Linked DNA regions of Caenorhabditis elegans. The protein of the gene in region 3 interacts with the protein of the main gene of each other region in a pairwise test. Each region holds a gene or a part of one and is shown on either strand. Other genes may lie near its edges.

What was found.
Region 1: the proteins of abu-11 (region 3) and ruvb-1 interact in a two-hybrid assay, tested with the Caenorhabditis elegans proteins (one large-scale study listed by BioGRID).
Region 2: the proteins of abu-11 (region 3) and K02D3.2 interact in a two-hybrid assay, tested with the Caenorhabditis elegans proteins (one large-scale study listed by BioGRID).
Region 4: the proteins of abu-11 (region 3) and appg-1 interact in a two-hybrid assay, tested with the Caenorhabditis elegans proteins (one large-scale study listed by BioGRID).

What each region holds. Positions count from the first base shown.
Region 1 is NC_003283.11:9,975,106-9,982,305, reverse strand, and holds ruvb-1 (RuvB-like 1), read left to right. Parts: upstream 1-1,503; 5' UTR 1,504-1,609; coding exon 1,610-1,675; intron 1,676-1,722; coding exon 1,723-1,818; intron 1,819-1,895; coding exon 1,896-2,607; intron 2,608-2,664; coding exon 2,665-3,122; intron 3,123-3,171; coding exon 3,172-3,270; 3' UTR 3,271-3,515; downstream 3,516-7,200. Other genes in the region: tofu-1 (Schlafen-like protein 1), read right to left, coding at 1-186, 241-565, 618-822, 870-905; unc-41 (Putative stoned B-like protein), read left to right, coding at 6,080-6,853. UniProt on the Caenorhabditis elegans protein: Possesses single-stranded DNA-stimulated ATPase and ATP dependent DNA helicase (3' to 5') activity suggesting a role in nuclear processes such as recombination and transcription.
Region 2 is NC_003284.9:13,706,032-13,714,901, forward strand, and holds K02D3.2 (START domain-containing protein), read right to left. Parts: upstream 5,977-8,870; 5' UTR 5,934-5,976; coding exon 5,817-5,933; intron 4,681-5,816; coding exon 4,588-4,680; intron 3,788-4,587; coding exon 3,698-3,787; intron 3,657-3,697; coding exon 3,554-3,656; intron 3,511-3,553; coding exon 3,405-3,510; intron 3,119-3,404; coding exon 3,028-3,118; intron 2,801-3,027; coding exon 2,690-2,800; 3' UTR 2,588-2,689; downstream 1-2,587. Other genes in the region: K02D3.1 (uncharacterized protein), read left to right, coding at 897-1,035, 1,086-1,207, 1,268-1,411, 1,460-1,606; K11E4.1 (Fungal lipase-type domain-containing protein), read left to right, coding at 8,163-8,258.
Region 3 is NC_003280.10:190,926-198,163, reverse strand, and holds abu-11 (Activated in Blocked Unfolded protein response), read left to right. Parts: upstream 1-3,605; 5' UTR 3,606-3,629; coding exon 3,630-3,704; intron 3,705-4,349; coding exon 4,350-4,568; intron 4,569-4,616; coding exon 4,617-5,186; intron 5,187-5,248; coding exon 5,249-5,572; 3' UTR 5,573-5,655; downstream 5,656-7,238. Other genes in the region: chs-2 (chitin synthase), read right to left, coding at 158-346, 1,093-1,179; T01D1.8 (ZP domain-containing protein), read right to left, coding at 6,125-6,232, 6,705-6,824, 6,871-7,078.
Region 4 is NC_003280.10:10,322,752-10,330,653, reverse strand, and holds the start of appg-1 (Activated in Blocked Unfolded protein response), read right to left. Parts: upstream 4,361-7,902; coding exon 4,292-4,360; intron 1,011-4,291; exon of another isoform or gene 926-1,010; intron 907-925; coding exon 763-906; intron 719-762; coding exon 569-718; intron 518-568; coding exon 334-517; intron 1-333. Other genes in the region: idpp-4 (Intrinsically Disordered Protein, expressed in Pharynx), read right to left, coding at 5,961-6,110, 7,111-7,175, 7,229-7,328, 7,403-7,510, 7,585-7,663, 7,891-7,902.

The DNA.
Region 1 (7,200 bases), on a different chromosome or scaffold from region 3:
TTGGCTCCAGCCTTGACAGTTGTTGTCAACTTTCCCAGTGTGATCAATTCTTTCAATGTCTTGTCTTTCTCGTATGCCATGGATACACATGAATCGATCCAGCGTTGATCGTGACGAGCAAATTCGAAACGAGGTGGACGAGACATGATTCCGTTGCGAACGTTGAAGCTGGTTCCATACACATTTCTGGAAGGATGAAGAGTTGAAATAGAAAATATTCAGAAAAGCTTCAAGACCTACTTTTTGGAAGCAAAATCTGGAATATCTTCTACTGATACGGCATGCTCTTCTTCGGTGATGTACTGCATATACTTCTTAAGTGAAGACATGTCGAAAGCATCCTTATTTTTGCATTTCGCATCAGAAGCTTGAGTTTCTGCAGAGGAAGAACTAACAGCTCCAACACTAATACCACTGTCCACATCCTCTAACTCGCTGCGATCGATGATATCAGGTTCAACTGAAGAGTCCAAGTCTTCGAAGAGTCCTTCAATTCGAGAATTCATCTGATCTCCTGCCAATGCTTTTCCAAGAAGAGCATCAAGAAGTGATTCCTCCACTTCGGCTGGAAAATATTTTGTTACAGAAAAAGAGCAAAAAACTATAAAACTGCTCACCTTGACCATCGTGAAGCTCGACAATTACTTCATTTTCGGAAGGGATGTCCACTTCTTCAGAGGATAATTCGTCATCTTCAAGTTCATCCACATTTTCAAGCTCATCATCGTCTTCAAACTCATCGTCGTTTTCAAATTCATCCTCGTTTTCATTTTCTTCGATTTCACTCAAAAAGCCGCTAAAATCTTCTTCATTTTCGGAATCCTAAAATTCTTGAATTATACTTTATTCTTGTTAATCCAGAAACTCACCGAATAAGAATCATTCTCTTCAAAAAGCGCAGCCATTGTTCCAAAAATAACTGAGACAGAATATTCGATTTCGAAGGATTGTCGAGGGAGCAGGATTTGGGACAAATTCCAGATAATTGTCTCAAAGTTGTGCTACCGTACTTTAAAGGTACATTGCTATTTTACATTAACAGGTTCCCGAATGGAATGCCATTTTTAATTTCTTGGGATCTCTATTGGTGATTATACAACTTTCGCAAATTCATTTTATTTAGAAAAGTTACTCTCGGCTTATATTTGACATTTACTTCAAATAAGAATATTATCTCTTTTTCCTCTTTCCCTTCCATTGAGACCCGAAGAACTCGGGGGATGTCCAACTGGGGGGATTACCAACTCGGGGGATTGGCCCCGCCCACAGAACCGTGGCTTGCAATACGCCCATTTCTGCAACTGCCGCACGGTTTTAAAATTATTTTTTCTTGTTAATTCTCGCTCTATTGAGAAAAATACAGTTTTAAAACCGTGCGGCAGTTGCAGAAATGGGCGTAATGCAAGCCACGGTTCTGTGGGCGGGGCCAATCCCCCGAGTTGGTAATCCCCCCAGTTGGACATCCCCCGAGTTCTTCGGGTCTCCTTCCATTGCTGTTTGTCTGCATTTGTGCGTAAAATGAGATGGCTGCACACATTTTCGAATTTTATTTTCTTTCCCTAAATTTCTATTTTTCATTCTATTTTCACGCTGACGCTTTCGTAAAATAATGGATATGGAAGTCGATGAGGCAATATCTGGTACTTCTTCTTCAAGACTTGCACCAATCGAAGAAGTGAGCTAATTTTTGAAAAACCTAGTATTTTAAATCGAATTTTTCAGGTAAAACCAACTCCAAAGCAAATTAAACGCATTGCGGCTCACAGTCACGTCAAGGGACTCGGAATTGACACAGAAACACAAGAAGCTCACTATGAGGTTTCTTTTTCAATTGTCCAATTTCAATAACTACTTATGAAATAAAGCCTATGCTAAATAAAATATTATTTCTACAGGCTGCTGGATTCGTTGGCCAAGCACCCGCCAGAACAGCTGCATCAATTGTAGTTGATATGATTCGATTGAAGTGTATGGCCGGACGAGCTGTATTGATTGCTGGACCACCCGCCACTGGAAAAACTGCAATCGCGCTTGCAATGTCACAGGAGTTGGGTGACGGCGTTCCATTTGTGCCACTTGTTGCAAGCGAGGTCTTTTCCAATGAAGTAAAGAAAACGGAAGTGCTCATGAGAAGTTTCAGAAGAGCTATTGGTCTGCGTGTTAAGGAAACCAAAGATGTGTACGAGGGAGAAGTTACAGAGTTGAGCCCCGTCGAAGCTTCAGATAATTCCGGAATGGGAAAAACCATCTCTCATCTTGTCCTTTCTTTGAAAACAGCAAAAGGAAGCAAGCAACTGAAATTGGATCCAAGCATCTATGACTCGATTTTGAAGCAACGAGTAGAAGTTGGTGATGTCATCTATATTGAAGCGAACTCAGGAATCGTTAAACGAGTTGGACGGTGTGATGTATATGCATCTGAGTTTGACCTCGAGGCTGACGAGTTTGTGCCAATGCCGAAAGGAGATGTTAGAAAGTCTAAAGATATTGTTCAAAACGTGTCTTTGCATGATCTGGATATCGCAAATGCCCGTCCACAAGGACGTCAAGGAGATGTTAGTAACATTGTTTCACAGCTGATGACTCCAAAGAAAACTGAAGTTACTGGTGAGTGATTGATAAACATTAAAACTCGAACCTTTCAATTTTTATTCTGTCTTTTAGATCGTCTTCGTTCTGAAATCAACAAAGTAGTCAACGAATACATTGAAAGTGGAGTGGCTGAACTAATGCCTGGTGTTCTTTTCATCGACGAGGTTCATATGCTTGACGTAGAATGTTTTACCTATCTCTATCGCGCGCTCGAGTCCCCAATGGCACCCGTCGTGGTTTTTGCAACTAACCGTGGAACCACAACAGTTCGTGGACTCGGCGATAAGGCACCACATGGAATTCCTCCAGAAATGCTCGATCGGCTGATGATTATTCCAACGATGAAGTATAACGAAGAAGACATCCGGAAGATTCTCGTTCATCGTACCGAAGCTGAAAATGTTCAATTCGAAGAAAAAGCATTTGATCTTCTAAGTAAAGTTGGAGCTGAAAAATCATTGAGATATGCGTTACAATTGATTGCTCCAGCTCGTCTTTGTGCTCAAACGTGTGGAAGAGAGGTCATTGAAGTAAGTTGCAGAATGTTGTAGTTCATGTATTAAATAAATCGCTATTCAGGTAGAGGACGTGGACCGTTGTACCAAATTGTTCATGGATCGTGGGGAGTCGTTGAAAAAGGCCGAAGAAGAGATGCGACAACCTAAAAATAAGAAGTGATATCCATTCATATCCGCACAACGACTCGGTTTTCCAATTTTGATTTTTCGCCAATTCATTTCTTGTTTTTTAAAATTATTTTTCTTCTTCTACAACTTATCTCATTCCTCTCGATCTTTCCTCAGTTGTTTCCCCACATGTTGAGGATCTTGTTATTTCGTTCCGATAGATCCCCCATTTTGCCCAATTTGTTGTTCGATTCCTATTTTTATACTGTTCCTAAAAAGAAAAAAAACGGTTTCAAGAATTGTTCGTAATGTTCACCAAAGCGGAAGGAGTGCATAGTGCACAGAATCGACAAAGAGGGACCCCGGCAATTCGTAATACGTCTTCTCCACGTCCCTGACGCCGCGGCATTTCCCTTCTTTTTCTCCCGTTTCTCTATCGATTCTGACAGAGCACATAGTCCTCAGCAGTCGTCGTTTCGCTTATTCCTCGCTCTATTCGCCTCCTCTTTGAGAAAACGAAGAAGAAGGGGGAAAGAAAACGAGGACGAAAGGAGAAGACAAACGTCTTCTGGGAGAGCTTTTGCTTGGAGCCCCCCGAGCACAAGAAGTAGACTCGTATGCTCATTTTTGCAAACTTTCTGTGTTTATGTCTCGTTCTCTTTTTTGTTATAGACTTATTAGCAATTTTTATAGACACATTCAGAATATGGAAGTATGGAGTTTTTCAGTTTTCCCATCATTAATTATTAGTAAGGGTGCAAAACAGGGGTGTGCGGCAAATTTGCCGAATTTGCCGAATTTGCCGTTTGCCGAGCTCGGCAAATTTGCCGAATTTGCCGAGCACGGCAAATTTCAAAAAAGTAGATTTGCCGAATTTGCCGAGCTCGGCAAATTTTGAGATTTGCCGCACACCCCTGGTGCAAAAGTACTCGAACCAATAACTTTTCATATGCTAAAAGAGCTTCTAAATTCCACCTGTTTTTTGAATATTCCTTCAAAAACTGCAACATTGACTTACGTTACACATGCTTATATCTTTCAGGCTAAAGATTAAGTAGAAGATTAGAACATATCAGCTTTTGATTATATGACACACTTTTTAGACCAAAAAAGTTACATTCTGTTAGAGGACATACCGCTTGAGTTTGACTATTTACGCAAAGTGAACATTTGTATGGCGAAATGAAGTTAAGAAAGCATTGTTCTTGAAAAGTGTAACTTAGGTCACTGTTTCAAAAAATTACCGACCTAGGTTCCAATAACATGCTACATCAACAGATATCAATACATTTGATTCTTTTAAAATGCCAACAGCTAATTCAAATTTCGAAACAGAACATTGATATTATATATTAGATCGTATTTCATTTTAACGAATCCTTACCTACTGAAAAATGCGTATTCGATGATTTTCCATTATAGCTTTTGTAAATTTACTACTGATATTTTTGATCAAGTGGGATACAACTGCTAAAGTCAACCAAGGGTCTCACGCTTACCGTACTTCTCTATTACACGAAAAAGTTATAGATAATTTTTTCAAAAGATTTTTCAAGTCTGCAAATTCTGATCTTTATTTTGTTCAATTTGTGAATATTCTTTCCCGTCAAAATCAGATTGAGAAAAAAAGGAAAAATTCAGTTAATTCGCAATTTCTCCTTCCCTTTCAGGCCTCTCGCTTTTCCTCCCGTCGTATCTATAATTGAATGTGCTAGTACTACCAATCGGTGTAGTTTTCGAAGAATGGATTCTACTTTTATGGATTTAGAAAACAATATTATTTGCACCATTTTAATAAATAGTCATGCAATTGGGGGCTTACAATTAGAGAATAGACTCGTGAAATATTAAAAAATCACTTATCTCATACATAAGCACTCAAAAGAAAAAGTAGAAGAAGAGTCTTGACATTCAAAATCGTCTCCACTTTCATTTTATTTTCCATATTTTCTTTCCAAACCCTTCCATTCTTTTTTAGGCATGACTCTTCGTATTTTATATGCATAGAAAGCCTAGGAGTAATAGCGGAAAAGGAGAGACAGGGCAGATTGATGGGTAGATTTCATGGGTTAGGCACCTTTTTGAAGATGGAAGAAACGAATGGAATGGATAATCTGAAAATCAATATATTCTTAGATTCAGTATTTCGTGTTTCGGCTGAAACCCAAACTACCGGTCCAAATATCCAAAATATCAAGTTTCCACTTGTTGACACACAAATTTTTCGTTTCTTCCGTTTCTTCTTGTCTTTTGCAAAACCTTTTTTGACTAAATGACGTAGTATATTGCCAAAATCTAAGTGAAAAAATAACCTTTCATAGTCTGTTTTGAAACAAAACTAAAATTGAGCCAATAGATTCAATGCCTAATCAATTTTTAATGAGGTGCATAGTGCAAGAAAAATAATAATATATGTATATACAGAAACAACCAATTTTTCTCTTATCTCAACTAAAAAAGTAGATAAATCTTTCTTTTATTTCAATATCTATACAAATATACCATACTTCCAATCTTGTTGCTAAAATTTGTTTTGCACTTATTAAGCCGAACAGTGTCTGACGAATCTTGTTTTATGACTCTCTAGTTAATGAATGTTTTGTGCATGTTTTGTCAAAAAACCCACAGGTACCATTAGATCACTTAAGGGAATACAAAAATGCCTTCAGTAATTTAATTCTATCAATTTTTTGAAATCCCTAACTTATCGAGAAAACTTGAAAATTTTTTTTTAACATAAGACATGGTCCCATACCGTTCCTGATTTTTCCCAAATTTTAAATAACCTAGACAGGCTCCAATTCTTTCATTTCTTGTCTATTTATTCATTAATCACAATGTCCCTATATTTTTAAGATTAGATGTCTTGGAGAGACCGTGATTTTGATCCACACGGTGGCCGAAATGCTTTCCGATTAACTGATGAATCGAAACAGTCATCTTCAGAACGAGCAGCTTCAATGAGAGCAATGCGTTCATTTACTCAATCAATTGAAGATGAAGGTCCACCAGAATTACCAGCTTCACTTGACATCGATATGATTGAAGGAGTCAGTATGAAAACATCTGATACAAATGACACAATCATTGAAGTTAAGCCTGGAAAGGTGGATCCTCAACTTGGAGAGACCCAGAAATATAAAATGGCAGTACCTGGTCCCGGGCACTCTGAACAAGAACAAGAACTTCACAAAAGTTTGATAAGGGACGAAGAAGAAGATGCAGAAGTTGAACAAGTATTTGCAGCATCTGCAGAACCAGTTGTGACACCTCCAAAAAGTTTGAACTTCGCTGAAACAGCTGAAGAACTTCGGCACGCGTATGATCAGAAAATTCGAAAAAGGCCTACAACTCCAACATCTGCGTGTGTTTTAGATGGAATCGCATTCTTTGCTGGAAGTGTTGATGGTTCTAATGATACAATTCCAACAGATGCAGAGAAAAAGATTAAAGTGTCGATTCCAAGTGGTCGAAGGAGAAAAACAGAGAATATGTCATATTCAGAATTTTACGAGTCGATGGCAAATCAGATACCCGGAGGTGGTGGTCGAAGGATGAGTCAATCTGGAAGAACAACTCCCCTTCATGACTATGAAGGAGATATTCTTGATGAAAATCCACAATACAAGGATAAAGTAAGTAATTAATTATTATTTTAAAAAACCGAATACAAAAAGAGTCTAGAGCAGATATGGACGGCAATTAGAATTTTCGACAATCCAGCAATTCTTCAATCGCCAAAAATTCCATTGCCGCCCAAACATGGCACAATTATTAAAAACTGCTTAAATTTGATTGTAAATTTTTTCGAAACTTGAAAAAGCTATTTATAAGTTTTTCAAAATTTAAAATTAGCCAATTCTGCTTCATGAATTGTCTGCTGTGCTCATTTTTCGGACACAGCTTATCAAGTTTATAAATATTTTGACATCAAATTCTTACTATCGTTCACATCTGAAAAGTTAAAAATGTCAAAATTATT
Region 2 (8,870 bases), on a different chromosome or scaffold from region 3:
AAAACCTTAAAAACTTCGAGAAAGTTGGATAAGGACTATTGAAAAATTTCGCAAATGAACTGTAAACTGGGCAATAGTTAAAATGATGTTTATTACATTTTTGGTTTGATTTCCCTAATTTAATATTGCTCATACATAGGTTTGTGTTATGAGGTGTCCACAAAAATATAAAAGTAAATGCTGTAATAAAGAGAAATGTTAAGATATTCAAAAAACGGAAATCTCAGTTTCCAACTTGTAGATTATTAGAAACAAACAAAAGTAATGTTTGTCAATAAACTCTTTAAATCTTTTCCTATTATATATCAAAAATAGAAACATTTTTTTACAATAGCCAGCTAACTTTTGATTACACGGGGTTAAATTATAATATACAAATAAGTTTATGTTGTGTGGTTTTTATTTGAAATTGCCTTTCTCTACTCACAGGCTCATTTCTACTCATTTCAGTTAAAGTTTCCCCTTATTAAATATCTTGAGATAATTCTGACATGCAATATTCATTTTGCTTTTTAAATCTAGCCCGAATTCCATTCTGATTCACTATCCAAAACCTTGTTGTCTTCAAATTCTGCGTCTCTTTTCTATCACCTTTCATCCTTCTTTACAACAAAACCGTTGCTCCGCCCTTGTTGCAAAGCTAAAAAATATGAAAGAGGATAATAAGAAAAAAAGAAAACAAGGGGTGGAGTTCAAAAATGGGCGGGGTTGGAGTGTCATGCTAATTGTTCAAATTTAAAGCGTCATGAGCTACTATAAAATGCTCTTGATCCACTATATCTTTTTAGAACTGTGATGTTTATGTTAATTTTTTCTTATTATTTTTCATTCTGCCTCTCTATTTTATGAAATTTCTAGTGTAATTTTTTTAAAATACTTGTACTTTTGCAGCAATAATGAGTAAATTGGTAGCAATCCTACTTCTCCTTTCTGCCTGCTCTTCCTCGATGAACTGTGCGGTCATAATATCAGACGACCAAATAATATTTTTAGTCAATAGAATTTGCACAAAGTCCATGACTTGCCCATACAAAGGTAGTTGAGATGATAATCTTATAGTTATTACTAAAATTTATCCTTTCCAGAATATGCGTCCATCCAACCACGAGACTGGGTCTGGAACAGGGATGCTGTCCTAACAGCACCCAGCGTTCAGTTGTACAAAGCTGGAAAAGTGCCAAAAATGCAAGTGATCGACTTGTTCCAGGTTTGCTGCAAATTAAAAAAAAGTAATATCAGTAAAATTTTCATTCGTTTTTTTTTTCAGGAGCAGTTTTGTTGCGCTTCAGAAGAATGCCTAGCACGTTGCAACATTGTCGAGATAAGAGAGAAACCATTAGTACAATTTGTATTGGAAAACTTCCCGAAAAATGCGCCAAAAATTCTTTCCTTGGAGTTGGAAGAGTTAAAGGTAGACAGTTTTTTGTTTGTGAACATTTTAAAATTGTTTAATTTTCAGGATTTTGAAAAACCGATTCGCAACTACATCAACGATTTAAAACATAACAAGGATCTCAAATTTGTTCCAGCCGAGGTTGAAGATTTTCTCGACTACTTAGACAGAAATAATGACCGTATTATCGAAAAAATGAATAACTCCCAGTAACTTCTTTCCTCTCTCTCTTTGTCCTCGATTGCTCTATACCCGCCCCCTTTTTCTCTAGTTGCTTCACTACGCTTGCCACCTCGTGGTATACCCCACACATCAGACTTTCTCTCCATTAAGATCTTTTCTACGAGTAAGCTACTGTTAACAACTACCTAAATTCCAATTTTAACTACAATCCAATTCACCGTTGTTAGATTTCCCTATTTATGTAGTGCCCTATTTTTGTTGATTATAATTTATTTTGTTAGCTCCTGAACCAAACTATAGTATTTATGAGCATGTATTTTTTATGAATAAATAAAAAGGTGAACCTTGTTTTTGATGCTTTGGAAAATCGATTTTTCAGATTTTTTTCAGAAAAAAAAACCATTTTTCGCTGCTGTAGTTTGTCTATTTCAGGCTATAGTAGGGCTTCCAGCTGAGCGAGGCGCGAAGTGCAGGCCTCAAGCGGGCCTCACGCCGACGCCGCTGTGTGTGTGCAATGAAGTGCGAAAAGTAGGTAGTTGTAGCGGCCGACACTTTCGTGGATCCGCAGCTTGGCGTTAAACGAGTAGTTTGGTGTGTGCGCAACTTAGTGCGAAAAGTAGTTATTTGGAATCGGCCGACACGTTCGGCGTTCCGCGCCGCACTATACATGTGGCGTGAGAGACGTCGCGCAGCCGACGCCGTTGCGGCAACCTCATAGGAGCCCTAGGCAATAGTATCAATTTTCAAAAGTATGGAAAACTTGCAAGCTTGTGTGAAAAATTTCTGATTTGGTTTTTGTGTCACCAGTCAGCTGAGGTTTTCAATAAAAATGTGCATACAAAATCTACTTGTCTTGCTATTTTCAATAGAATAAAAAACAAAAATAGCTTAAAAAACAATATTGTATTGAGAATTTAAACAGCATAATAATGTTTTATATTTCTCAATGATTCTATTGGTCTCTAACTTTTTTCCGCATCCTAGAAATTGTAAAACGTTTCCCAACCCTATAAAATAAATCAAATTTTTATTCGGTATCCTAATTTAGACAAGTGTATATAAATATCAAAACATAAATGGTAAAAACATTTAAAGTTATCATTCAGGTAAGTTCTAGTTTTCCAAATGGGCAGCACACCATCCTGTCAGCTGATGATTCAATGAAACTTTCGTGCAATCTTTGCTGGCATATTTTTGAAGGTCTTCAAAAAATGACGCAATTCCCTGAAATTTAATTAGTTATGATATGATGTAAATGATATGAAATTTTCGCAAACTAGAGTCAATTTGTGCGTATACTTTATGCTTTTAATCTTTTCCACTAAACGACTCAAGAAAAACAAATGTTGATAAAATTTTTCTAGTTTGTAATCTGAAAACAAAAACTGAGCTCTGATACTAGCTGATGATTTGTCAGCAAAAGCATTAATTCATGTACATAATCAGTATACCTTTGGCATTAATGTATCAACGATGGTTTGTGGAACACCTTGTAGGTACAAATCTGCTTGCACAATCGATGTGATCTTGACACCGTCGCCTCTGGAAATTTTGAAAAGTTTTAGTTGGGAACACAATATTGAAGTTTTTGTTAGTAAATGGGAGCAGAGTTTGTGGGGATGATAGTGCGGCGCGGAACCAGGAACGTGTCGGCTGCTTTCAAACAACCATCTCTTCGTACTACTTTGCACACACACACCAAGAGACTTATTTTACGCCAAGTTGCGGAACACCGAACGTGCCGGCCGCTTCAAATAACTAACTTTCGCATTTTATTGCAAACACAGCGTCGGCGTGAGGCCGGCATTTTGCGCCTCAAAAAACTTACAGGGGATTAAGCATGAGAAGTGTGGGATAAGTTTGGGCTCGAACCACACCAGCAATTCTTGGCGATTTCTCATGATCTACACTAACCATAACTACCGAACGGCTGCCTAAAAAAATTATGTAAAATTCAGGTCTTAATCTTTTTATAACCATCAACAGGATCATATGCGAAACGACACAAATCAAGTGTTTCACGTGGAGATATCAAGCCCATCATTCTACCCTTTGTTTTGTGAAGAATCACTGATGTATCCTGAAATTTGATTTTTGGAGAAGTATAGAAGTTAAACTGACATAGCTGATCTCTTCGACAAGGCTTGTTCCTGCTGATTGGGAGTCCCATTTGTTGCGGTGAAGCCCTTGCGGATGTATCATTGCAGAAACCTAAACTTTGATATGTAATTTTAGTTTTAAGAGTTTCTGAGTTTCTGACATGGTACAAAATTTCACCACTTCTTTGAAATGTTGTCTCATTTGTTTATCTCCCAAGCTGTTCAGCTCGGGCTTAGAAAAATCTAGTCTCTAATTATTTTTCTGTTTCCGCACACAACGATTTACAAAGCAGAGTCAAACGCTACCAAAGTAAACACGTTCCAAAATCGTGTTATCTGATCTGTCGCTCATGTTTGCGTGGTGAAAATCTTTAAAATAAGACAGTTGATGTGTCAGTCTTTCGATGAACATTGCAATTTTATGATCACTGAGGGTTCAAATAGCTAGTTCTAAAAAAGTATCAGTAAATAGATTACATAGAGAATAAGAGTTCAAGAAATCATTCAGAGCTTGTTTCACGATAGGAAAACGAAAATCATGGAGTAATTTGTTATTTCAGAAAATAAAATAGAACACTGCATATAAGCATATATTATGTAAAGCATAAAATGTAAAATGGAGTAATTGTTTCAAATTTTTTCTACTAGGATGTTGAACTGATCAAATATAAATCAAAATTCAACAAGGAAATGTTTTTCATAAATTTTGGAATTGACAAAAATATACCCTAATATTTCAATAATTCATGAATTACCAAAACCTATACTAAATTGATGTGGACTTAAAAATTTTTTGTATCTACACTAGGTTTCATTCCCATACTTTGACTCATTCTCCCTTCATTTATCGGTCAAGGATCACCATTTTTATTCTTTTCCAGTTTTTCCATTAACAAGCCCTGATTACATTACCTCAGCACAAGTTCTGTTCGGAATGCGCCCTTCGTAGCGGAAAATGTAATTATCCATAACATTGCATCTCATGCTCCAAATGCTTCCGGTTTTCTGAAACAACAATATCATGTTGGCCACTGGTGGGAGTTTGTACTCTGACGTAATGAGGGTGATAAACGAAATCGCACATTTATTCTCATACTCAAAAATACATGTTTTCTCGTGATCCCTATAACGATGTAACAGTGTGTCAGTATCGTGGGATTGTGAAGTTTGAATTTGAATTATTAGGTACATACCTAGGTATATTAGGAATTGGTAACTGTGGGGCTGACATATTGCATGTAACAATACACAATTTCTCAAAATTGAACATAGAAAACAAACTTTTAGAGCGCTAGATGTATCAACTATGATCTAAAAGTTGTCCTTTCTACATTAGGAAATAAACTTTTGATTTAAAATTAATGTAGAGCTATCGAACAATTACAGTCAATTACATTATTACTGTCTTCAACATTAAAAAAATTTCAATGACATATAACAGAAACAGTTGCTTCAAAAGCGCAGATTAACAGAAAAAACTTTTACTTCTAGTATCTGCATTTTGTAAATGCTCGAATTTGAATAAAGCATACCAAAATTGAAGGATCAAGTTTATCTTCGGTTTTATCATTATTTCTTTTGGGTTCTACAGGATGCGGCACAATTATGGTAACACGACATGTTGTTAGAAATTCTTGTATATCTCGAATATCGTTCATTCAAAAAAGATTTACAAAATCGCATTATTTGCAACTAACTTTATTTCTCCGACTTCACGAGCTTTATCACTAGGTATCCTACACCTACTGTAACTTTTTTGGGAAAAATGTGAAAGCGCAGAGAATGATAAACTCTAAGTTTAAACTGTTAATGTATTCGAAACAATCTGAAAAATGAAAATTATCAAGGTAAAAGTGCCTATCAGTTTTGCCGCGACCGTTACGCTTTTGCCATTTGTGTTTCCATAATTGCGCCGCATCCAATTTCAACATCAGTTTCTTGTTTTCAATAAGTAAGAAAACACCAGAATCCTCTAAAATGAGAGTTTCCCATTACATTTGGTTGGCGAATATCAATGATTATTTACTTGACTATCAAAACTTTTAAGGATAACTTTCATTTTACAGTGTTATCTATTGATGAACCAATACGTTGGTTCGTTTTCAAAACTTTTTCCCCGCAGTACTTTTTCGGCCTCTAACCTTTTCGGAATGAAGTTGCCATTCCAAAGAGTGCAAAAGATGAAAAACACGGTTTTCAGCGTTTTGCATAGCCGCATCATACGTGGCATGGTAATCGCTGGTCTCTGTGGCAGGCATCATTGTGGTCAATGTGGTGTAGAGTGACGGATTAAAAGATTACCTGGAATTATGTGACGCTGAACTGTTTTGTGGTGATGTGAAAGAAATGATGAATACATATGGTTTTAAATTGAATGCGCAATATTCAATATTGTTTTAGTTTTTCACAAGTTAAATAAAATTAAAGTTAGTTAAAAAACAATGAATCAAAAGCATAGGTACAAAAAAAAAAGAAATGCGAGGTCTGTCGAAACTGTCAATGAATATGCAATGTTCTTCCATCCCCATTTCGAGCTTACGCTACTCGATTGGAGCGATACAATCAATCTCCGTCGGCGGCGGCGGCGGCGACGTCAGACAAGCGTGAAAAGACGAAGCGTGCCCGTCAACCCAGTGGCCACACAATTTTCCATACGGCTTTCATCTGAAGCCAATAATTTGCATCATTGCCCTTCAAAACTGGATATGTTGGCTGGAATTGCATGGCGGACAAAGATTGATATCTGAAAACGCACTTACTGTGTTGCACGTCGTTTTTCGTTTACCGTCTTGGAATGCTGCCAAAGATGAGGGAATGCGATTTGAATTCTGGGTTGGCACAAATTTATTGCCCTTTTTTAAGTGCAACCGGTTTTCTTTTTTTTTTAGGTGGATGGAATTTTAATTCAAAAAATATTTCAGATTCAAGAATTTGAGAGTTTTTCAAAGTCAACATTTTGTGTGAAAACAAAGTGTAACTCCATGGAACACCAAGAACTGCTGTTCACAAAAAAAATATTTGAGAAAACTCCACTTAGTTGTAGAATTCGTCAATTTCAAACTATTTCCAACAGCTAAAGTTATGAAATTTTTTCACTAAAAGTAAATCAATTTTAGTTGTTTTGAGAATGATTGCTTTATTTTGTCACTCTGATCTTGAAAATATTGTTTAGTGGTTTTTCAGTGCCGACCATTTTTTTCAGCATTCTGATCATTGAGTGCTAATACAAAAGCTCAAACTCTTTTTTGAACCCTCACAGATCAAAAGTTTGGGATTAACTTAATTTTTAGTAGCAACACAGAGTCAAATGTACATGATTCTTCTCACACTTCTTGCGTGACGTCGCAGCTTCCTCCGCGAGCACGTCTATAGGAGCACAATTTATCAAAGTTCATTGTAACGTGGGTAAGGTGGCAATTACATACCTGATACGCAAGGGGGATCAGTGTAATAAGTAGTTGCGTGTTCCTGCTCACATGAGAGTATTTTGGAAAACAATGATGGTTGTTGGGATACAAAACTACTTCCGTGCTAGGATCTCAATCAGTTGTTTATTAGAATAAGCGATAAACATTGTATAATTGTTGCATGACTTGTAAGATGTGACACGTAAATAACATTACTATACGTTGGTCAGAAAAATGAGTAATTCTGTTAAAGAGGGGTTCAAAGGGAATTCAAGAATTCGGCAACACTGAAAAATTATCGTAAAAAGTTCAACGACATAATTAATATACTTAGAAGGTATTACCAAGTCGAACGAGTTAAACATGAATAATTGTTTTTCGAGCCATCCCAGCAATATCACTTTTCGAATGCTCAATAAAATTTAAAACAGTATTTTTCTTTAACAGAATAATTTATTTCGTACTAATTAAGCATTTTTAAAATATCAGTTTAGTTTCTTACGATGTTCATTTTACAAAAAGCTAAGCCCAATGCGGGGCTCGAACCCGCGACAACCAGATTAAGAATCTGGTGCTCTACCGCGACTCGCGACTCGCGACTGAGCTAACCGGGCGGCGATTCAACACCTGTCGCTACTTAAATAAAAAAGAAAAATCACGCGATAAACCTGCGATTTCACGTGTAAAATAGGTAGGACAAGAGAAGTTTCAACTAGATATAATGGGTGGAATAGGGGAACTAATTGGATGAATTTTTCCAACTGAAAAAATTGAAAAAAGCAACATTTTCATGCAGTTCAAAACAATATATTTTCGGTATTTTATTCATTTGTTAATTTACATGGCCATTATAAAAAAAAGATTGCAGTCCCCATCAATTTTTATAACAAACCTGAACAGAAAAAACGTTTTCAAGTATCAAAGTTACAAAGATTGACGACAACATGCGGATTGCCCAACAAAATTGATCGAAATTTATATTCATCTACACACATACATTCGAAGAGGCCAAATCCTTTTTCGACATGTTGGGTATCGATATTAATATTGTGTTCAATCCGCATCGCACCTCACCTCGGTATGCCTGTTCGATGCCGTACCATATTGGTCATTCTTTTGTTTTGCATTGTTGGAGCAAACAGTCTTGTGAATTATGATTCGGATTCCGGAAGACGGGTACTTTTTTATTGGCCTAAAATTAATTATTGCAATTGAAAACAAAACAAACTACGAGATTCTCATTATACTTTCCAAACTTTCAAATTGATAAAAAACTTGGTTTATCTTTCTGGCAAATTGGAAATTGTTTACATTCAATTGGTGGTCTCTTCAATAAATTTTGACGCAAGCCTTACGTTACACAAGCGCTGATTTTAAATGTTCAATAGAAAAATATATGTTTCTCTTCTTTGTATACTTTGCTAACTTTCAAAGAACTTTCTTCAAGTAATGTTCTACTGGTGGGTAAATAAAATGAGGAGTGCTCAAAAATATTTATATGAAATTGAAATTAAAGTTGTTTCGAGACCGGTGGAACGTTTATCGCTCCAGATTTTAATCCGAATAATATTAATTAAGACAGACAAACTTTTTGTCTATATACAAGCAAAGTTCTGTATTATTTTTAGATTTTGAGAAACTCTGTACATTCCCCATGTTCTCTGATCAAAATTTTGCCTTGTTCTACCTATTTCGCACGTGAGATGACAAGTGACAAGATCACTTGACTTTTCTTATTTATTTAATAGTAAGTCACGACAGGTGTTGAATTGCCGCCCGGTTAGCTCA
Region 3 (7,238 bases):
TTCTTAATCTTGTTCCTAAGCAAGATGTTGTTAAAACAAGCGCCGTTATTGCAGAGAAACTGAAACCACTTGTCGTTTAGACAAGCTTTATCAGAATGATCTTCATGTATCTGGTCGCAACTGTATATCCTAGAACAAAAATTGTTGAAGAACTTACCCTGACTCTCCTTTTTGGCTCTTCATATTCTTTATCCTCTTCCTTCTTTGCTACCTCTTGGGAACTGGAATAGTGTTGCTCTTCTTCATCCTTGACTCCAGATTCCTCAATTTGGGTTTCAATTTTTCGAAATCTAACCGTCTCCGAAGAATCTTCAAGGCCAAGAAGCGCATATCCGTAGAGGGATACCTGTAAAATGTGAATTATCATTGTGAAAACTCAAATTCAAAATCAGATTTAGTTGCATTCGATTCGACACAAAATTGATGCTGAAGAACATATGATTTTTAAACCAAAATTTTATAATTTTCAAAAAAAAATTATTTATATTTAAAAAACTAGATAAGTAAATGGAGTTACAAACAATATGTGCCTATTGCCCTCCAGAAATGGTTGGTTGGCTATATTTACGGCCAGGTGTTATCGATTCATTATAGATTTGTTTTTGCCCACTTTTTAGTCAGACACTCTAGTTTGCATTCCTGACTAATTGTTTCATTTTACAAAAAAAAAAAACTCTAAAAAATTCTTATTTTACCACACCACTTAAGAAAAATATTTAAAACACTGAATTTTTCAATTTCCGACTCGGAAATTTTTTTAATCTGAATTTTTTTTTCATCCACTAAAACAGTGAAAAAAAAAACCATCACGGGATTTTTCCAAAAAAAAAAATTCCAAAAAACTTCCAGAATACTTGTCTACCTCGAAACAGCTTAAAAATCATAGTAATTTTTGAAAAATTATCATTTGCGGCAATTTAACGGGCCTCTAAAGTAGTGAAAAAAAGCAATTTCAGAGCGACTTTTATTCTGTTCAAAGTGCTCCTCTGCCGCTAAAAGTTTTGTGGGGGCCTAGAAAATAATGATGCGCTTTTATGAAATAAACTTTAATTACAGAATGTGAAGGAAATAAATGTAGAAAAAACAACTAACCAAATGATCGAGAGGGACCTGGGCTCCAGTATGTGAGTCCTGAACCCACTCCTCCACAAACTCCTTTTCCTTATTACCACTGTCCATCCTAGCACGTCATACTATGGCAAAATATGAAACTGAGCCTCACAAGGTCTCTGCCCATCGGCGATTTCCCCCTATTCAAAACCCATTTCTTCTCACTTTTCATGTTGTATTTGCCTCCCAAACAATTAGTTGTTGTAGCTGTCATTGAATGACCTGCGGGTGCCTGTGAGCACCGGTTTTCAGGCAGACAGGATTGTATTCTATTAGTGAGTAGACGAAAAGGAAGAAACAACGTCTGATTACGTAGGCAACGACCAAGCATCGATACATTATTCAAGGATCAGAAAATCAAGCTCAATTGTTTTGGAAATTTTTAAACATCACTTTTTGAAACTGTCTACCTCTTGGACTACACGTTGAGGTGCCAAAAATTAATTTCGGAAAAAAATCACAATAGCTAAAACCTAAATTTGGCTTTTTTTTCTCAGAAAGTTGATAAACATATTATGTGTGAAACTTCTTTCAAATATTATATTTGAATCAGGGATGGGCGGCAAACGATTTTTTCCGGCAAATTGCTAAATTGCCGGAATTGAAATTTTTGGCAAATCGGCAAACTAGCAAATTGCCGGAATTGAAAATTTTCAGCAAACCAGTCAACCGGCAATTTACCGATTTTCCGAATTTGTCGACAAAAAAACTTCCGAACGGCAATTGCCGCCCGCCCCTAATTTGAAAAGTTTTTGTATAATACGGTTCGACAGCCGTACACATTTTTTGTTGTGTAGCTCTCAAATACACGCTGTGATTTGAGAATCCATGCATCTGATCTTTTGCAGAGTCTTCCTATCGAAAAGAGCAAATTTCTCAGTACCCCTTGATCTTTTGTAGAACTGCTCATTCACAGCATCTAATCCCCCCACACGTCTTAACATAATTAGCATTCCTACATTAGCTACTACATGTGTTGATTATTTGTCTAACAAGATAGAGATAGTGTATACATACTTCCGCTCTCATAAAGACCGGTCATTTTCCGTGCTCATTCTCACTCTCGCAATGTTCTTCCCACACCCTTGATCCTAAGGAAACATGCTCCTCAAGAATAATCTCTTGAAAAGCGTGAGCGATTGTGGTAACAAAAAATCATGAGTATCAATGAAAACAATTCAACGGAATTTGGATTTGGGTGGGTGTGAAGGCGCTGTAAAAAAATGTAATATGAATTTAAGACCTCTATCTGCAAAAAGGTACAATGTAATTTTACAAAGTATTCAAGGTTTCCCTTGAAATAATTTTATAAAAACATTCGTACTAAATATCGAAAACTGCACCAAAACTATTTGCCGAGTGGATTTATCAGTTTCCCGCAATATTGGCAAGACTATCAGGTTATATGATATGATATTAGTATGAGTGCACCTCCACAAGAGTAAAGATGCAATGACTAAGATCAAAAAATTCCATTCCGCTTTGAGCACAAAAAAGATTCAGCGCTGGTAAACTAGTTCTCACCAAGTTTAGAACATCAAACAATTGACGCAATTTGTAGGTCATAGACTGGCAGGTTTTTGATGTTTTACATGACAAGTTTGAGAATAATGAAAGCAATCTTCATACATTTTAATAACTTTTTAAAGAGTTTTTAACTGATATCTTCCTAGAGCAACAAAAACAGCTTATATTTGCAAACATAACCATTTAAAGTTGAAAATGATACTTTTGCCATTGGGTTTTGAATTTGTCAAAATCTTGTTATTAATTTATTTTACTCATGTAGTTTCTAGAAAACATGTCATTCGTCCTGAAACCCCATGGAGCATACGTTATTGTCCTGTCAGAATGTTATTACGTAATATATTACTCATGACATTTACACCATATACAAAAATCTATTTATTTGCAAATATGTTCCATGATTATTTTCTGAGCAACAACAATTATATCATAGTCTAGACTTCACAGGGATAATTAATGTTGTTGGGAAGAAAAGTAAGAACTTTAGAAATGGTGATTGACCGAGTGAACTCTCAAATATCTATTTTTGTCTTTGTAATAACTCTATGAGTAATGAGGAATGAGGAACTGAATTTGTGACTGCAAATTAATCAGAAAGATTATTTAAAGAAGAAAGATATTTTGCTGTAGTTTGTGATGGCTGCTGAAAGACCACCGGAAGACTTTTGACATCGACCAAGTCCTGAAAGATCACGTCCCTCCAGTTCTTCAACTGTAACCCTTGTGAATACTAGAAAGTAAAAAACAAAAAAATAACAACATGTCAACATAACAACACGCCCTCCCCCTCTTGCTCTGCTCTTCCAAACACATGAGCACACACACACACAGGCACACGCAAAAAATTTGGAGACGCATCACTCGAAGAAACCGGAATTTGGGACAGAGGTGGTAGTAGAGGAGAGGGGGCGATGTTTAACTGATTGCAACGGGAAGATATATAAGCAAGAGCATGTATTGGGACAATCATCACTCACTCTGACAAGCTTGAAATGAACACCAAATTTTCAATTCTCTTTTCGCTTTTGGCGGTTTCAGCACTTGCGGTGGCTGCTGAGGAGAATGTGGTATGTATTATTTTTATGAATCTAATTATAAATATTTCATTTGTTCCCCTTTTCTAACTCTTATATTATAAATACTTATTTTTTAATTTTAAAACATTTCGTGCTCACTCACAAGCAATTGCATAACTTGAATATGAATTAAGTAAAATATAGGAACTTCTTAATATATGTTTCAAATAGTTTATCGTTTGACTTCATTATTTTACTACTGAAAATTTAGCAACAGGGGAGTATTTTGAGCTGCAAAAAAGTCGTTCTGAAAAGTTTTCAATGAATTTTTCACAACTTTCGAACTATCGAGGGCAGTAAAAATGTGCCAAGTGTGAATTTTTGCTGACTTTCAAGAGCTTCTAGCATGTTTAGGAGCTGGCTAACAATCGTAAATTTTTTTGGAATTTTTAATTTTTTGAAAAAATCTGAAATTTTTTCACTCAAGGGGTTTTTCTGATTTTCAATTTTACGGGCTTCTAAAGTAATAAAAAAAATACACTAATAGCAACTTCAGATCGAAATTTTTCTAGTTCTAAGTTCTCCTCTGCCGCTTAATTTTTTTTGCAAGGGCCTATTTAGAAGGTTTTTTGCAAATGAGATATTATCCAGAAGACTAAAAAATTAAGTTGAAAAATTAAGTCGTTCCTTTTTCAGTTCCTCCGCGCTCGTCGCCAATCTTCATGTGGATGCGCCATTCCAGCTGCTCCACAATGCAACTGCCAACCAGCTCAAACCAACACCGCCCAACAATCTTGCTCCTGCGCTCAAGCTCAACAGCCATCAAGCTGCGGATGCGCTCAACAGTATCAGCAACAACAGTGTGCACCAACTTGTCAGAGCTCCTGTGAACAGAGCTGTGTTGCCCAGCAACAGGTTAGTCAAACCAAATTCAACCCAGTTAGCCATTTCATATTATTTAAGCCAATCGCCCAGTGCCAATCATCTTGCTCTTCCACTTGCCAGTCCGCATGCGCTCAGCCAGTTCAGCTTCAGCAGCCAGCTCAGCAACAGTGCCAACAAGATTGTCAAGCTGCTTGCCCACAACAACAACAACCACAGCAACAGTGCCAGCAGCAATGCCAGACGACATGTCAATCCGATGATCAGTACTCTCAACAATTGATCCAACAGCAAACCTACGCTCAGCCAGGACAAATCCCAGCCTACACCGGAAGATCCGAGTACAATACTGCCCCACCACAACAGCAACAAGCCAGTCAATGCAATACCTGCCAAAACTCGTGCCTTAACACATGCCAGCAGCAACAGCAGCCAGTGCAACAGTGCCAATCATCATGTGATCAATCGTGCCAGCCACAATGTGCCACGCCATCTGGCTCCGCTTACAACCAAGTCAACTACCAGCCACAGGCCCAGAACAACTACCAAACCAACAACAACTACCAACAGCCAGGAGCCATTCCATCATACCAAGGAGCTTCCCAGACTGCTGCACCAACCTACCAGCCATACAGAGACACCAATGTTCAGGTAACATATTAATAGTATTACTTCTAAATCTAGATTTAAAGAAATCCAACCTAAATTTGTAGGTCGGAGGAACCATCTCCCAGTGCAACACTTGCCAAACCCAGTGCAACCAGGAATGCCAAGTCCAGCAGACCCCAGTGAACCAGTGCGCTCCACAATGCGACGCTCAATGCCAGCCAGCCTGCTCCCCAGCTGCTCCAGCAGCTCCAGTTCAAACGCAACAACAAATTCAGCTTACCATCAATGTTCCAGTTGCTCGTCAGTCCCCACAGTGTCAGCCACAATGTGAGCAAAGCTGCAACACCCAATGCATTCAGCAACAGCAACCAATCTCGCAGTGTCAGCCAGCTTGTCAGCAGAGTTGTTCGGCTTCCTGCAGAAAGTAAATTAACTTTAATTATTAATTTTTGGGAAAAAATAACTTTGTGATGGTTTTTTGTGTATATTTTGATAAATAAATTGTTTTCTACATATGTTCATCTCCTGCATCATACATCTTCACTAAATATTTTATCATTATTATTCCCTCTTGGGATGATAATTACAGAGAAATTTCTAGAATAGAAAAATTTATGAATCATTCAGTCATGTAAATTTTAGCTTTCAATCTCTATAATCTGCGGAACATCTATCTTCTTTTTTTTCTTTTCCACTCAATTTCTGAAACTGAAGTTTTACCACAAAAGCTAAACCCACCAATTACGTGTTATATTTGAAAAGCGGTAAGAAACTTAAAATAATGAACGGTCATCAAGGGTGTTACCTGCGTCAATAAGGGTTTTCGGTGTTTAATTCCAGTCTTTTGGGAATATTAGTTGTTATAGATTTTGACACAAAAAACCTCCACGCAATAATAATTAAACATTTCGTACATAAATCCTGCGTGTGAAACTTTTTGAAAAATTTTATTAGACAAAATGTTTTATTCATATCATATCTCAATTTAAATATCTCGAAAATCGTCGTTGGTTTCCACATCGAGGCCTCTGACACTGTTCATGGTCCTTGAACAGCATTTTTATATTGCATGTGAAATGAACAGCCGTCTGAGATTTTAGAAGTGATATTTTCCACACGATTCTTAAAGGTAGAGTAGCGTCAGTGGGGAGAGTGTTAAAAACTACTCATTTTATAGCAAAATGACCAAATACCATAATAAAACTTTTCAAAAATTTTTAAAGAATTTTTTGTTTACTGTCAAAAAGTGGCAATTACTCAGTTTTTTCATTTGCCACTCATAGTTTTGAAAGTCGACCAAAATTTGTTTCCTACATTCTTTATACTGTAATTTTGTCTTGGTTATTCGTCTTGAAACATTATAGAACGTCGGAAGATGCGACATTGCCTTAGATTTCCTCAAAATCTTTTTTTTTTTTGAATAGGGAAATTTGCCAAAACTTTGACCGGAAATTATGAAAATCTAAAATTTGTTGAGTGTTTTATTATGATATTCGGTGGTTTTGGGTTATTATAACTGTAGACAAAATTCCCACTGGTGCTATTCCACTTTTAACTTACCGTGTCCACATCCAATGCGAACGCGTGAACCTTAATTCCAGCTGATAAATCTCCTTGATATGATATATCGGGTAGAATGTTTGGGAACACCGAACACCCATTCTCGTCGATTATTTGAATCTTTAAATGATACTCTACTATTGAGTTGTTATCGACCTGCTCTTACCTTCCTTGTTCCTATTTCTTCCTCCCCGCTGTCTGAAATCGTGCAATTATTGACCATCACACAGAACAAGTAGTTTTTGTGATCGCCACTATAATTACAATTCCACGAGTGATAAATTTCATCTCCAATGTTCACTTTTGATGTCACAATTCGTCCAAGTTTGTCTGATCCATGATGTACACTGTACTTGCATTCTGGTTCAGGAAACCTACAACGATGGTTCAAAAAGAAATAAATTGAATGTTTTATGTTTTTCCTGATTTCAAAGACGATATCAATCCCTCCGCAATTGCCATACGGCAATTTTTTTGTCGACAATTTCGGCGAATTCGGCAAATGTTTTGCCGATTTGCAAGAAATTTAGAATT
Region 4 (7,902 bases), about 10 Mb from region 3:
ATTATAATTTTAGCTTTCGGCTTCATGTATTACCGTACTAACTCAGCGCTCTTTAAATAGGAATTAATGCTCACATATTGAAAGTAATACTAAATAATAATTTTTTTTTTTTTGTTTAAAAACCATATGGAATTTATCTCTTTCAGAATACATGCAGTTCAATTTAATTATTTAACTTGTAGTCAATTGGTTTAAAATATTTGAAAATACCATTTTCAAGCAACCAAGTTTTTTGAATTAACCTTTTCAAAAGCCGATCAAAATTTTTTTGACATAAAGTGAATAGATGTTATTCAAATTTCCATTCTCAATTTTTGTTTTTCAAAAACATACATTGTTCGTTGGTAGCGCATCCGAATTGGCAGGATTGTCTACAAGTTTGTTGGCACACTGCAGGTGGAGAGTTTTGTGAGACACATGCTCCTTGGCACACGTTCTGGCACACATTCTGACAGGAGTCGTCTACTGTTGGAGCAGCGGCAATTGGAACAAGTGGTTGAGGATTTGGTGGGGATACCTGAAACACAGAAATAGTTTATAATCAGTTTGAAATCGATACAGAGTATACCTGAATATGCGACATAGCCTGTTGAGCTGCTGACGCACAAGTCTTATCGCAAGTGCTCTCACAGGTTGTGGAACATGCAAATGTGTTTCCAGTGCTTTTGGAGCAAGATGGAATACATGCTCGAACACATGTAGCGGAGCAGTCAGAGTTCTGAAATAAACTGCTTAGCATATTTCTAAAACTCTGAAACTTACGATTTCTGCTCTCGGGCATTGTGGTTGGCAAATTGGCGCCTGTTGGCACGAGCATGCCGGCAAGGAGATTTGCGCGAAGAAGACTGGTTGTTGCTGGCAGTTACAGAAGTTTGAGCATCCACATTGACGCTTTAAACGGCGACTCTGGAAATGGACAGGATAATTACTGGAAACTAAATATGTCACGTAGACACATGTCTATTGGGAGGAAAGCGTATATAAAACAGTTTAGTCTATCAACTCTAATTTTAAAATGTGTTTTCCCATTTTCGAGTTATTAAAACGTTTTTTATTTTTCAAATCTACAAACAATACACAATTTTTCTTTGTTTTATCGGGCGCGGAAGGCATATTCCGAGTCTAGACGAGAGTGTCCACATACACAAAAACGATAGATTTATGTGTTGTTTCGTGAGAAAAACCACTCGAAATATGTTAGTTCTGCTCAACAACAACCCTTGTATTATGAATTCGGAGAGATTTTTAGAGAGCCAATATCGGGAAGGGAAATGAGATCAAAAGATCGATTAGTGGATTTTAAAAGTTTTGGACAATTTTTGCATCGTTTCTAATCCGAAAAGGCTGTAATTAAGATTTATGACGGGACACTTTAGGGTTACTGTAGTAGTACGGTATGAATGCTGTAGCAGTACTGTTGCAAAATTTATCTTGAATGCTACTGGTGCTACTGTAACATTGTGGCTGGGTACGGTAGGGGTACGGTAACAGTGTAAACAGTTGTACTACTGTGTAAAAAGACACATTTTCCCAACAAATGCCAATTTAAAGTATGTCAAGTCATAGAAATTCTAACTTAAAGTTGAGTTGGTTGATGATTAATTAACAAATAGAACATCAATTTATACTGTTACCGTGACCCTCCCTGTTGGGTATCAACGTGTATTGACCCACGACGTGGCTAAGAAGATCGTGCAACGTGAACTCTATGAACTAACTTATTTATTCCTTAGTTTAGTAATGTAATAAACTACTCGTCTTCTCTCCTCGTCTCGCCTTCGAATACACAACACTCCCGTACTGTAATCCGTACTGTAATGTAGAGTAATCCAAACGAACAATAGTTTTCAAATAGATAAAAATTTTAGGAACTTCTTGTACAGAGAAATCAAAAAGAGTTGAATTTTGCTTTTCAATTTTGAAGTAATTTCCAAAATGTGAGGTTACCATTTTATTTTTTATCTAGTTCCATTTGCTCAAAGGAGACCGTTAATTTTCCCTCCAACCAAATACGGAAATCGCTGATTTTATTATTACGTAGTGCAACAAAACTCTTGAAAAGGTGACAATTGATAAGTGGGCCCCCTTATCACCTTTCCTTATCCCACACACACACATACACACACACATTTCCTTGGCGATATCATTCTCGAATATCGGATATCCGATTTCCCGGTTGGTCATTCATCTATTGACTCTTTTAAGACGACGCCCCCGGTAATCAAACATTAGGACTTGGTGGGGCGAACTATTGCGTGTGTGTGGGTCTGAGGCGGTTTCGGCAATATACCTGGAGATTTTGTGGATTTTCAGATAAAAAAGTTTACGGGAGGTAAGATACATAATCAAGATTTGGCAGCATGAAAAAATGTTCAGTTCAAATTTTTTCAAAGTTTGGAAATTCTTTAGCCTTCCCGGTGAACTCGGGATTTTGGATCAACTTTCTGCAAACAATTAGGCAATTTCTAAAGATATGATCGAATAAGTTGCTGGAGGTAAGTTCCTGGAAAAGATTCTCATCAGGAAAATGTCAGAAAATTGCAAAAAGCTTGACAGAAAGTTACGCTATTTCGAGGAAGCTGCGGGGTTTTTACTGAATTTTAATTGAGAATGTACCAGAGCCAAGAGACTATGTGTGAACAATAAATATTTGGATCCAATAAAAATTGAAGCATAAGCTATAGTTAAAAAAAACTAATTTTTTATTGATGTCTAGTAATTTTAGTAATCCAAAAATGGAAGGATCTTCCGGTTTTCGAATTACGGTTTCTCGCAACAATATCGGTTTCAAAACAGATGTTTCCTGTTTCCGCTTTTTCCATTTTTGTGCATCCCTTTGTTAATTCACCATCCCATGAAGAAGAAGAAGAAGAAACATTCTAAATTTTCAAATGTTTTCTCCTTCTCACCCAATTTCCATTTCACCAGACATTTTGTGTGTATGACGGGGTCATGATGTTAAAGAATTGGGAGAAAAACCGAATCTTTTTCTCTCTCTGGCGAATGGGTGTTTACTTTCTGTTTTCATTGTGTTCACCTTTGCCTGACAATAGAAACAAACTCTCGCGCAACACAGAGACCTTGGAGCCAGTGGAAATGGACGAGACGCCGACTAAATTGAAATAGAAACCTTCGTTTGACTGTCTTGGAATGAGCAGGCTTTTTGGGAAGAAAACTCGATTTGGAATAAAAAGAAGAGGAATCGGGTCAAAGAATCGGGGCGGAGTTTTGTCAAAATTCTTTAGACTTTGGCCCATGTGAATCAAAATGTTTCGAAATAAAGTTGGGTTAATGCATGATTTAATGGTGAGTTTGTCTAGAGCAATATTTAGTAGCATTTTTACCAGACACTCAATGTAGGCATTAAACTCGACTTGAAAGTGACCTACTACATTCATACCATGCTTTTTGCAGTCGACTACAAAAATACTGTAGGCGCACAGGTAGGCATCAATGTCACAGAGCCGGTATACTAACATGACTCGTTTTTCCAAGATTGTCTCCTTGTAGTTTTGAAATAATGGATTATGGTAAAACTGAACCGTCAAAACCAAATTGGAACCATTCTCAAATTGAATTTTTTTACAAGTTTTTTATTTTTCCTACAATTAGAATAAAATTGCTCCCAAAAGGTCAAAACAATTTTAATTTATTTTTTGATTAATCTGTTAGAGAGAAAGTCTGCAATTGTTAGAATTCACTAGCTGCAAAATTAAAAAAAAATGTTGCGTCATCAAATTCTAGTTTCAAACCCATCAATTGTTCCCACAACATAAAATATTGTAGGGATAGACTAATTGAAGTTTTGTAATCTTCAAAAATGTACTTTCAATAGAATTATTTTTTCGAAAAAATAGAAATCCATAGAAAATGATTTTCAGAAATTGCAGAGAACTAATTTTTTCTAATACTGATAAAAACGGTATTTTCACAAAATTTAAAACTTGCAACAAAGACTCTTAAAGAAACACAATCTAGTTTACAAATTATGTTACAGACATTGAAGGCTTGTTACCTAATGTTCGATACAGTTAATACCAAAGTTCACACCCAAAATAAAGATTTACCAAACCAAAGTAAGCTAATAAGAGATGGTTCGTATAAAATAAGTTATAAAACTCTTTAATTTTGTGAGAAGACAAATATCTGACTAATTAACAGTGGTTGACCGCAAAAGTTTCAAAAGGATTTTAATTAGTCCAGTTTACCGAGCAGGTCAAGTTACGAGCAAACAATTCAAAAGCAAATAAAGTCAAAGTAACTACCAACAAAAAACCAAAAATAAACTCACCGCAGCAGTAGAAAGTGCCAAAAGAAGGCAGAATAAGAATAGTAGCCGAAGAGAATTCGAGCGTCCCATCGGGAAGATTTTATGATTGATTCCTAATTCTCAGATCCAGGAGGGATTGGATTACTGTATATGAATTTAAGTGATGAACAATATGAATAAGAGTACGGATACAAGATTATTAACAGACAGAAATGGTATATAATAAGTCTTCACACACACACACACAAATCCTTCAAAATCTATTTCTCACTCTGCTTCTCTCTTACTGCTTGAAGAGCTCTCCGGAGGGGGCGATAGGAGGGCGGTAAAAGCTTCGCGGAATGCGCGCTCAGAGGCGGAGCATTTCCGCGCGGCAAAAAGGACAGCCTGACGCGTTGGTGCTCCTGCTGGACGAGAGAGCCCCCATGGCTTCCCAAGGCAATTTTTGAATCCTGTTTGTTTGTATTTCGCCATGTACAAATTGTCAATGTATGTTCGTTGTTGGCCGCTTGAATCGACTGGAGAGCTACCCGAACTTTTTGCGGGGAAGGAAATCGGCACTAATTTGGAGAGTTCGGAAAGGACGGAAGGGGGTCATCCTCTTGTCTGTTCCACCGATGTTTGTTTTTTAGAATGGGGGCATGCTTGAGAAGAAAGGACATTGTGTGATTAAGCTGGTGATTAGGATGATTATTGATGAGCATACATTGATGATTGTAGTGGCAGGAAAAAGCAAAGGGGTGAACCAAATTGGGATTGTTTCGATGAAGATAGTGACGGAGGTTTCAATTTGATACAAATTTAAACGGAAATTATAAGTTTTTTCGTTGTCGTTGAACTAGAAATGCTGAGATATTGTGTTCTGTACTAATTTAGAACTTACAGAATATAAGTACTGATTTAAAAATACAGACTAGTAAAGTAGTTTAAATATTCCATTTTGGTTGGAATAGGAGGCCGTTTATAAATGTATCTTTTTGTTTATTTTGCCAGTTTTATTGATTTGCTAAGATTTGAAGGAGTACCGAAAATTGGGACAATGCCCTATTAGACTTGAAGGTATCAAATGGCCTGAAATTCGCAATGAGACGTCTTGAAATTTTCCAATAACTTTTTTATGGCGGTTCACATTATTGAGGGAACATGCATATTTTCAGCTATCATTCCAAGTTTCCCAACTGTCTAGACTCTTCACGGAAAAACGTGCAATTGATTTTGCATTCAATCACCATATTTCAAATGTCTCGGCAACTTTTTTATTCAACTGAAATAAATAAAGATGTTTGAACAAACGGAGTCCTGATAGTGAGCTCAATAGAATTTTAGCTCTAACATATTTGGACCAACTTAATTTCAAGTGATAAATGTAATAATTTTCTTGTATGGGAACTTTCGAAATGATACATGTCAATTTGTATTCTGATTGTATTTTCTTTACACAATTAATTATTGTATCAAAGTACAAAAATATATATTGGGATTTTGGATGTTTTAAATTGGGATGGCCGACTTGGCGTTCATAAAAATAATGGCTTGTTGAATTCAATACGTTTTATTCGCTACATACATTGACTAACTCGTCAAATTGCAAATTACCATAAAATCTTAAATTACTCCCAAAAACATTAGAATACTGATGGTACATAAATAAATACAAAATAATCGAATCAATAAATAAATAATTGATTATTCACTGACGATGAGCAAAATCTTCAGTTCGTTGATTTTTCGTTTCTTTCATGCGACGACGCATTTTCGATTGGCATACTGGGTAACAAGTCGTTTGGCAAGCTGCCATACAGTTCGGATTGTTAGGAAGACATTGGTGCTCACATTGGACCTGAAAAATTAAGGTTGGATCAGGTTTCACAGAACTTTTTTAGGAGGTAAAAAATTGGGATCTACTAAGTTAAATAGACAACACTTTCAGGGATTGTAAGCCAATACAGTAAAATCTGAAAATCGGTAAAATTTATTAGTGGAAATCAATTCTCAGATGACTTTATTCTTTTGACCCTTAATCTTCAGCTTCTCACTTTACACTTTTTCGTGGATTTTATGACCTGAGAAGAGGCTCATTGTTTTTTCTACACCTCGCAACTTCAACACCTCTTCAAAAACTATTGTTTTGTGTTTTTTTTGTGTTTCTTGTGTTTCAACAAATGTCTCGAAACACACAACAGTTAAAACGGAAACAATAGAATTATGAGGAGAGAAGTAGTGTGGAACAACGAGTACCTATTGGGAGGCAGGGGGATATTTTTCCTTGTATTTGCACAATGTTCTTCGGTTTTACACACTCTTGCTGGCTGAGTTGATTTGAAAGAGAGTTTCCGAAATAGCTAACCGAGAACCTGTGAACAAGCTCTCACTTAGCTCGGGGAGAGGATACAAGGATTTCAGAGAATCTCAAGTGGGTGGTCACTTGGCGGGCAGACAGCAGCTGAGCTTTAGAAATAAAAAAGATACAGGGAGTTTAAATTGTTTATGTCTACACTCTACAATAGCTCGTGCCTAAAATGTACCAATCAGCAGATATTTCTGCCGAATTCATCAAGAATATTACTACAGTAGCCTATAATAAATAGTTTTCTAGCACTTTAGGTACTTGCTAGTAGGTTGTCTAGGCAAGCAAAAACAACTACGCCTACTGGTGTCGCCTTTGAAGTGGGCTTTGCAATAGCTGGGTTAAACTTGGATTAAACTTTGGACCAGTCTTAATCCAAGTCTTGCCCAAAATCTGCCCAAATCCAGCCAACTTCTGATTCAAGTGAATATTATTTATGCCAAACTTAAGCAAAAAGTGGGAGCCAAATCCACAGTTTTTTTTTAAATCTTACAAGGCACTCGTTCCTACAAATAGTTCCAAGAGTAATGACAGTTGGAGCGGCAGTTGTGGTGGGTGCTGAAATTATTATTTTTATGATTTTATGCAATTCAAAGATCTGCTCAACCCACGATCTGAAACTACAATCGAAACTGGTGCAATTGGAATGAGCACGGCTTGAGTTGGTTTCTCAGTTGTTTGAGGAACGGCTTGTGACAAAGCGATTTGCATCTGTAAAATTACTTTTTGATACTTCTGAACCTAATAATTTTAATATCTAATTCCCACAAGTCTTCCCAACGTACCTGAACAGTAAACATGCATTGTTGAGTGCAAGCTGGCATGCAAACAGAAACACACTGACCACCGCTCGATGACGTCGATTGAATTTGAGTGGTTGTGGCAACGGCGACCTGCAAACTTTGCTCTTTTTTATAAGCCGTGAAACATTTTTTTTGTTTCGGTATTTTTTTTGTTGTTCACTTACGGGCTTCACAATAGTACAAGTGTCTTCACATGCTGGCGCGCAATTCGATTGGCATTCGTTTCCCGGAACTCCAGATGAACTGAAATATTAAGGGGGTAGATGAGAAATTGGAAGAAAAGGTATGTGATACGATATCTCCTGATAATATGGCTGTAACACTAGTTTTCGATGGCTGGTTTTGTTTCATATTCTAGTTTTTATTTGAAAAACCAATAAATTCATGAAATTGTAGATTACTGTAACAAAATAAATAGCTCGATTTTTCCGGAAATTTATAGACATAATTCAAAAAAATTCAAAACTCACGCGCAAACGGAC